Linked DNA regions of Macaca fascicularis. The main gene of each other region encodes a partner of the protein of the gene in region 2 in a complex. Links are inferred from orthologs where the notes say so. Each region holds a gene or a part of one and is shown on either strand. Other genes may lie near its edges. The genes, in order: POLR2D and GTF2E2.

The links.
Region 1: GTF2E2 (region 2) and POLR2D share a complex: the UniProt entries of both Homo sapiens proteins name them as parts of the TBP-based Pol II pre-initiation complex. The link is inferred for Macaca fascicularis from reciprocal best matches to the Homo sapiens genes GTF2E2 and POLR2D.

What each region holds. Positions count from the first base shown.
Region 1 is NC_088386.1:3,674,886-3,679,356, reverse strand, and holds the start of POLR2D (DNA-directed RNA polymerase II subunit RPB4), read right to left. Parts: upstream 3,004-4,471; 5' UTR 2,979-3,003; coding exon 2,906-2,978; exon of another isoform or gene 2,684-2,905; intron 1-2,683. UniProt on the Homo sapiens protein: Core component of RNA polymerase II (Pol II), a DNA-dependent RNA polymerase which synthesizes mRNA precursors and many functional non-coding RNAs using the four ribonucleoside triphosphates as substrates.
Region 2 is NC_088382.1:33,860,895-33,865,135, forward strand, and holds the start of GTF2E2 (transcription initiation factor IIE subunit beta), read right to left. Parts: upstream 2,987-4,241; 5' UTR 2,381-2,986; exon of another isoform or gene 2,143-2,380; intron 1-2,142. UniProt on the Homo sapiens protein: Recruits TFIIH to the initiation complex and stimulates the RNA polymerase II C-terminal domain kinase and DNA-dependent ATPase activities of TFIIH. Both TFIIH and TFIIE are required for promoter clearance by RNA polymerase.

The DNA.
Region 1 (4,471 bases), on a different chromosome or scaffold from region 2:
GAACCATTCATAAACATGAATTCATGTTTATAATCCCTCACTGAAAAGGAAGCAACAGTGAGGAAAAGCCAGAATGACTTGCAATTTCACATTTACACGTGCTATAGGTCTGTTTATTATCGGGGAAATCACTAACACCTCCCTCAGAGTAACGCCTTCCCAATTCTCAAGCCGGGTAACTGACAAGAGCCTCATTCTCCTTTCACGACACAGACAGTTTAAGTGGTAGGTCAGGAGGAAAGTCTATTTTTATTTGAAAGGTACTCATTGCTACTGAATATAATAGGCTACCAATACAGCTGGAGCACTATTGAAATAAAATTAAAATCTAAATAAAAAAATAGGTAACCAAAAGCTATTTTCTACCTGAGGGCAGGAGAGTTTAAACAAAAACCTCAGAACACCTTTTTCTGTCTTCCAGCCTATAACAGGGGATGTACTACAGTGAGTGCCTATTTGTATACCAGGAACTTTACTACTTTTAATCTTTAACACTGAGGCACTGTAGGTACAGAAGAAACTACTGCCTCACAGCAATGAGTAGAGGAAAAGGCATTATATATCAGGACTGCAGGACCTCCAAACTCTGAAGCGACAGTAACAAATGACATCAGGCCAAAACAAAAAAGGGAAGAAGTAGCTAATCAGTTACAAATCGGTGTGTTGGAACTTTGATGCTTTTACAGGTCCTGGAAAAATCAATGTTAAGAGATGCATCCCAGGCTGGGCGCCGTGGCTCATGCCTGTAATCCCAGCACTTTGGGAGGCCAAGTCAGGTGAATCACCTAAAGTCAGGAGTTCGAGACCAGCCTAACATGGTGAAACCCCATCTCTACTAATACAAAAATTAGTCGGGCATGGTGGCACATGCCTGTAATCCCAGCTACTCAGGCTGAGGCAGGAGAATCGCTTGAACCCAGGAGGTGGAGGTTGCGGTGAGCCGAGATTGTGCCACTGCACTCCAGCCTAGGCAACAAGGGTGAAACACTCTGTCTCAAAAAAACAAAACAAAACAAAACAGATGCCTCCCTTTCTGCACTAAACCAAAATTACTTGTTAAATGGAAAGGAATGGAACTTTTAGGCCACCAGGAAACTAGTCAGCTGTCCCTATTTCTCATTAAGAACAATATTCAAGTACTACTAATACATTACCCTCACTCCCTTCAACCAAGGAAGGTCAAGGCAGCCAAACTGTAACTCAGAGGGCCTAGGAAAGGGGTGTCTGAGACCTACCACAGAGCTTTTGGGAGGCATTCCCAGGATTCGGCATCAACAAAATGGGGATGGGGGAGGCAGTTCAGACACTTTTGTATAACTACGGAGAGGAGGAATCCAAGACTTCTCCCCATGGCTAATTCCAATAAACATTTTCAAGTGAAAGCATACACACACACACACACACACACACACACACACACAATTTATTTGGAAACAAAAGGAAACAGATCAGGGGATCTGCATGTTATTCTCTCTTGTGCAAATATTTTAAGAACAATGGCCATAATTAATCCCTGTTGCTAAAAAAGGAAAACAATTCCTTGGCCAGTATGTCATCTGGAAATTTTAGTAAGGTTCCGTCATCACGACCATTAATAGGCCCGGTGCAGTGGCTCACACCTGTACTTTCTAACACTTTAGGCAGCTAAGGCAGGTAGACCACTTGAGCCCAGGAATTCAAGACCAGCCTGGGCCACATGGTGAAATCTTGTCTCCACAAAAAAAATACAAAAACTAGCCAGGTGTGGTGGTGTGCACTTGTAGTTCCAGGTACTCCAGGGGCTGAAGTGAGGTGGGAGGATTACCTGAGCCTGGGAAGGTTGAGGCTGCAGTGAGCTGTGATCACACCACTGCACTCCAACCTGGGTAGCAGAATGAGATCTTGCCTCAAAAAAAAAAAAAAAAAAATGCAGGGCGAGGTGGCTCACGCCTGTAATGCCAGCTCTGTGAGGCCAAGGTGGATGGATCACTTGAGGTCTTGAGGTCCTTATCCCTAGGAATACCCTCCCCAACCACTGCGTGCCTGAGAAAACTCGAGGCTGCCAAAATAATTTGTTTGGGCCGGGCGTGGTGGCTCACGCCTGTAATCCCAGCACTTTGGGAGGCCGAGGCGGGCGGATCACAAGGTCAGGAGATCGAGACCACGGTGAAACCCCGTCTCTACTAAAAATACAAAAAATTAGCCGGGCGCGGTTGTGGGCGCCTGTAGTCCCAGCTACTCGGGAGGCTGAGGCAGGAGAATGGCGTGAACCCGGGAGGCGGAGCTTGCAGTGAGCCGAGATCGCGCCACTGCACTCCAGCCTGGGAGACAGAGCGAGACTCCGTCTCAAAAAAAAAAAAAAAACAAAATAATTTGTTTGTTCCAGCCAACGGCTGAAAACAGGCCTCTGTCTCTCCGCCTCGGTGGGAGGGTAGGGGCCTAACTTCGATAGATGCTGCAGTCAACAAACCAAGGTGGGTTCACACGGACCCTCCTCTTCCCTCTTTTTTACATTTCTCACTTCCCCGACTCCCCTGAGCCCCCGCTCACCACATCCTTATTCCCTAACTCTCCTTTAAAACGCCCAGAGGTTCGGTACTAATCGAAGTTGAGTTCGGTTCACGCTGGACTCTTCTCCCTAGTGCAACGTTCTATCCCTGTTTAAAAATCTGTCCTCACCACCTGGGTTTCCGGCTTTGTTTACCTTTGACACCAGCGCCCGGAACTTCGCAGTTTGTTATCACATAAAATAACCCAGTTGCCCAGGCGGCCACTCCCAGGTCCACGTTCCCTCCCCAGCCCTACGCCGCGCGGGGGTCTGCCCAAGCCGCCGCCGAGGCCAGGCCTTGGGCGAAGCGCGGATAACGCCAGGCCTGCGGCGACCACGCGAAGTGCCGCGGGGCAGTCTGGCGGCCCCGAGCCCAACCTTTAGGAAAGATGAGCTGTGAGGCGTCCTCCTCTACGTCGCCAGCCCGCGGATCGCCGCCACCTGCTGCCATCGCTGAGTCGCGCGCCACCACCAGCGCCGCCGGAAGCGGAAGCGCGGAGCAACGGCCACGGAAGGGGCGTGGTCTTGGGAGGGGCCCCGAGGGGTGGGCGGGGCCGGGAGTGTGAGGCTGGCGGGGCGCAGCGAGGGGACCTGCTGGTGTTGTCCCGGAGGCTCCCCGCCGCCCAGGGCCGCCCTGCACTCCCTCTCCTCCCTCGCGCCTCGCCGCGCAGACGTCCTGGGGTAGGTCCCTAGGCCTTTCTGGGCGGAGAGGGTCAGATGAGCTGCAGGAACGCCTGCTGATGGAGAGCAGGGCAGCCGACTCCGAACGTGCCGGGTCGAATTTCTTTCACTGACTTACACTTCTAAAATTTTATTCATTTGTGATGGATTATCTAATACTTCTGAGCACGCGGACAATGATATTCAGAGGCTTTTACCACACGTCTGTTGGAACATTTGGGTGATGCATAGAAAATTAAGCAAATGACGGCCGGGCACAGTGACTCACGCCTGTAATCCCAGCACTTTGGGAGGCCAAGGCGACGGGATCACCTGAGGTCAGGAGTTCGAAACCAGTCTGACCAAAATGGTGAAACCCTATCTCTACTAAAAATACAAAAATTAGCCGGGCATGGTGGTGGGCGCTTGTGATCCCAGCTACTCGGAAGGATGAGGCAGAAGATTCGCTTGAACCCGGGAGGCGGAGGTTGCAGGGAGCTGAGATCGCGCCACTGCACTCCAACCTGGGCGACAGAGCGAGACTCCGTCTCAAAAAAAAAAAAAAAAAATATATATATATATATATATATATATATATTAAAAAAGAAAAAAGAAATGCAAATGAAAAATGATGCTGTTTTCTACACTGGAGAAAACGAAAGGTTGTACAATAAAGGAAATAATCGTAGCTTATTAGTCAACGATATCTTAGCTCATTAGTCAACAATGTTTAGAAGGTCATATTGTAAACTCTGTTGATTTAACAACAAATGAATTGGGCCGGGCACAGTGGTTCACGCCTGAAATCCCAGCACTTTGGGAGGCCGAGGCTGGAGGATCGCTTGAGCTCCAGAGTTCAAGACCAGCCTGGACAACATAGTGAGACCTCCTCTCTAAAAAATACAAAAATTAGCCTGGCGTTGTGGTGCGCGCCTGTAGTCCCAGCTACTGGAGAGACCTAGGCGGGTGTATCGCTTGAGGGATGCAGTGAACTATGATCGCCTCACTGCACTCCAGCCTGGGCAAGAGAGAGAGACCGGCCAAAAAAAAACAGGCAAAGTCCAGGCGCGGTGGCTCACGCCTGTAATCCCAGTACTTTGGGAAGCTGAGGCGGGCGGATCACCTTAGGTCAGGAGTTTGAAACCAGCCTGGCCAACATGGTGAAATCTCTCTCTACCAAAAAAAAAAAAAAAAATCTGGGGCGTGGTGGCGGGCGCCTGTAATCCCAGCTACTCGGGAGGCTGAGGCGGAGGTTTTAGTGAACCGAGATTGCGCCACTGCATT
Region 2 (4,241 bases):
GGCAACTTCTATGTTGTGGTTGTTTGTCCAGTTCTAAAATTACAACTGTAAGCAACTTCAGTACAACCAGGGAAGCTACAGGTCAACCAAGAAGAATTCTAAACACTCCTCTCTTCTGAACTCTGCTAGAACCTTGCAGAGGGTCTATGAAGACCTCAAGCTGACTATATAAATGAATTTGACACTGTTAAGACTAGTGTCAGCTGGGAGGAAAAAGACTCATACTTTGAAAGCTTCTAAGCACAGATAGCTCAATAAATGTTAAATGAACAACACATGGAACAACATCTTTAAATTGCTCTGGTCCCATTATTACTGGTTTCACAAGCCTTTATTAAATGTCTTCTGTTTGTGAGGCACTGTGCTCTAAGCTTTGAAAGGTTATGGAGGATAAATCCTTGTCTGCGTGCTGCTTAGATTTGAGGAAATGGAGCATTCAGCTAAAAATTTAAAATATAAGCATTAGTAAGAAATAATCAGAGTGAATTCCAATTAAGGCGTGAACAATCACTGTACGGTGAATCAAAAACCTGCCTTCTCTCAGTATCAATTTTTTTTTTTTTTGAGACAGAGTCTTGCTCTGCCGCGCAGACTGGAGTGCAGTAGGGCAAAATCGGCTCAATGCAACCTCCGCTTCCTGAGCTCAAGCGATTCTCCTGCCTCAGCCTCCCGAGTAGCTGGGGCTACAGGTGCGAAGCACCACGCGCCGCTAATTTTTGTACTTTTAGTAGAGACGGGGTTCATTCACCATGTTGGCCAAGCTGGTCTTGAAGCCCTGACCTCAAGTGATCCGCCCACCTCAGCATCCCAAAGTGCTGAGATAACAGGCGTGAGCCACCACACCCGGCCTCAGTTTCAATTCCTAAGAGCCACCTGGCTAGGCAACCCACAAGGCCTCTACATTCAATTTCATAAGTAAAATGAGGACGCTGCGAAAGCTATCCACATCCAGCCCAATTGTAAGAATGAGAAAACGTGTGTTATTTTTTAAATAGTAAAGTCATAAAAACATATGTCATTTCAGTATTACTATTTCGAGTTGGATCTGAAAGAAAAGAACGATTTACTGCGCTGAGGAAGGTAGGAGACAGCCTTGGGAGGAGGGAAAGCGTGGGGCCGAGAACAAGAAAGGAGAATTGTTAAGTGAGAAGGTGGGGGCAACAAGCTGATTGTGAATTTCTAGAACAGGAAACATTTGTGTCTTATTATTTCACGTTGCAAAGGCAGGACCTTAATCTGGACTTTTAAAAAACGACTCTAAAATATTTAAATAGGCCGGCCGCAGTGGTTCACGCCTGTAATGCCAGCCCTTTGGGAGGCCGAGACGGGCGGATCACGAGGTCAGGAGTTCTAGACCAGTCTGGCCAACATGGTGAAACTCCGTTTCCGCTAAAAAATTTTTAAAAATTGCGGGGCGTGGTGGCGGGCGCCTGTAATCCCAGCTACTTGGGAGGCTGAGGCAGGAGAATCGCTTGAACCAGGGAGGTGGAGGTTGCAGTGAGCCAAGATCGAGCCACTGCACTCCAGCCCGGAAGACAGCGCGAGACTCTGTCGGCACAAAAAAAAAAAAAAAAAAAAAAAAAAAGATGTAAATAAAGCCGTACAGTTTACAACAAACTAAATGCTTACAGTATTTGACCCTCGCAACTCCAGGAGCAAACAGGTATTAGTGTCATTCCTATTTTAATACATGAAATCTGAAGTGAAGCTGTCTGGTTAAGGTCGCACAGATGGAAGAGCCAGGGCCAGAACCCAAACCTCCTGACTCCTAACTCAAGTGCTCCTTACAACAGATCTGGAATGCTGGTAAAGGCCTTTAAAACAAAGGCCACCTATGAGGTTCGGGAACGTTCAAAGGCATCTAGAGCAGAAGGCTTCGCAATGTCTTCACGTGCTCCGCCTAACTTTTCCTCCTTTTTCAAAGACTACTCAATATGTGTAGTACGCTTTAGATCTCTGGACCCACCTATGTAGTAAACAGGTTACATCACCATGTTCATTTTACAATTAAACAAAACTATCACAACTCAAGGAGTTGGCTGGTTCCTCCGCGGGCAGATATGGAAAACCCAAAAATTAAACTGAAATCTGCCTCCAAGCCCACGATTCTTGCCATCATTCGACCTCTTTCAACCTTCCTACCTCCCCTCTGTTTTACTTTTTCCCAGCCTCGTTAGTGTCCCTGGCACCTCAGGATCCGGCCATGAAAAGCGGGCTGCTTCGCCCTTAAATGACGGAAGTGAGGAGGTGGGCGGAAAGCGGGCCGCAGCATTGTTGTGGAAAACGTCTTTAGACTTCAGAAATCAACTACTATCGTTAATGTTTAGGGATCATCACAAACCAAGTCTCCAAAAGGTAGCCCAGAAAGCAGTCCGCGTACAAGCATCATTTTAAATCACAGCCTTGAGCTGGCTGGACCCCGTGGCTCCTCAGACTCCACAACGTGGTTCGCTTGGCTACCGCGCCCGTGAACTTGGAGGCTTGGAAGAGGCACAATCAGGTAGCAAACAGCGAATTTTCCCTCTTTCCAACCCAAAAGTTTGCTCAATGAACCTCCGGCCTAAAGACAATGCTCCGGGGAACGGTTCGCGTGCTCGGTGTTTCGCTTCCAGAACGGCGGCCCCAGCTTCCCGTGGGGTGGAGGTCACGCTCAGCCTCCCGGGAGGCGGCGGCGCGCCTGGATCCTGGGGAACAGCAGGACGGGGCTCTGCGCCCCTCACCCGGCGGCCGCAGCCCCTACCTGAGTGAGGCGGGCAGCCTCTCACGACTCGCCGCCCAGTTCCTGCGCCTCCGCCTCGGCCAGCCGCCCACGCCGGCACTGCAGCCTCTTCCTGCTCCTCGTCAGCGCCCCCGCCTGCCCGCACGCACGCCCAGCGCTGACCCGCCAGGTCGGGGTCTCGCCACTGGCGGCGGCGGCGGCGGTGGCTGAGGCGACGACTCGACCCGGGACTCCGCCCGCCACTTCCCGATCTGGTGCTAGGAGCTCAGTCCCGGCAGCCACCGCGGCGCCAGGGCAGCGAAGCGAGCGCATGCGTCATAGGGTGCCCCGCCTCTGGTGCCGCGGGAGCAGAACTATCCCGCTGTGGCGTCCTGGAGCCTCCATGACAACGAGGGAAGGGCCGGGGCGGGGCCGAGGAGTGGACTGAAGTGGGAGGCGGTGCCAAGGAAGATGGAAGACAGCTTTCTTTACGCACATTTAATTAAAGCTGCTACAGCCTGCTCCCGCCTGCGCTGGGATGTGGTGAACCCAACCAGCGACGCTATCTTTCAATGGTTACTTTGTGTTTTTTGTCTTTTTCTTATTAGAGATGGGATCTCACTTGGTCGCCCAGGCTGGACTGCAGTGGCGCGATCTCGGCTCACTGCAACCTCCGCCTCCTGGGCTCAAGCCACTTTCCCACCTCAGCCTCCGGAGTAGCTGGGATCACAGGCGACTGCCACCACGACGGGCTGATTTTTGTTGTTATTGTTTGTATTAATAGGGTCTCACAGTGTTGCCCAGACTGGTCTTGAACTCCTGAGTTCAAGCGATCTGCCCGCCTCGTCTTCCCGAAGTGCTGGGATTACAGGCGTGAGCCACCGCCTCCGGCCTCAACGGTTATTTTGTGAGTTTACCCCAGTGCCACCCACCAGCACCTGCTCTCCGAGAACGCGGTTCCAGCTATTTTACAAGCGAAGAACAGAGGGCCAGGAAGCTAATTAATAAATGACTTGCTCAAGACAGCACAGCTAGCAAAGGCAGCATGATGTGGAGCTCAGCCCAGCCTCTTCCCTCCACCCCTGTGAACTGTCTTAGAAAAGGATTTTGGATTTAGAAGCCAGATAAATGGGTGGAAATAAAGCAATGGAAAAAATAATTGTCGTTGCTCGAACCCTGCAGCGTGGCAGGCCTTCCCTCACTCTTATAACCTAAAGCGCCAGTACAGCCAGTGCTCAGCCATTCTGTGGCTGTCGTTGAATTACTTAACTACTGGTTACTCTTCAAGTTACTAAAACTGTGGCTCAGTTTTCTCACCTGGAAAATCGGGATAATCATTGTACTACTACAATGAGTTACTTGCATTGGACTGTGGTGAAAATGAGAAATACCTAAAATTTTATTCAAAACTTGGAAAAAAGTCAAAAGATAATATTTTGTGACCTTTTTGATTAGTTTCATTCTAGAGAATTTTGTAATAAGCCTACTTGATCATCTGACACCCACAGGAAATGTAACTTTGAATAACAATTGATTAGGGCCC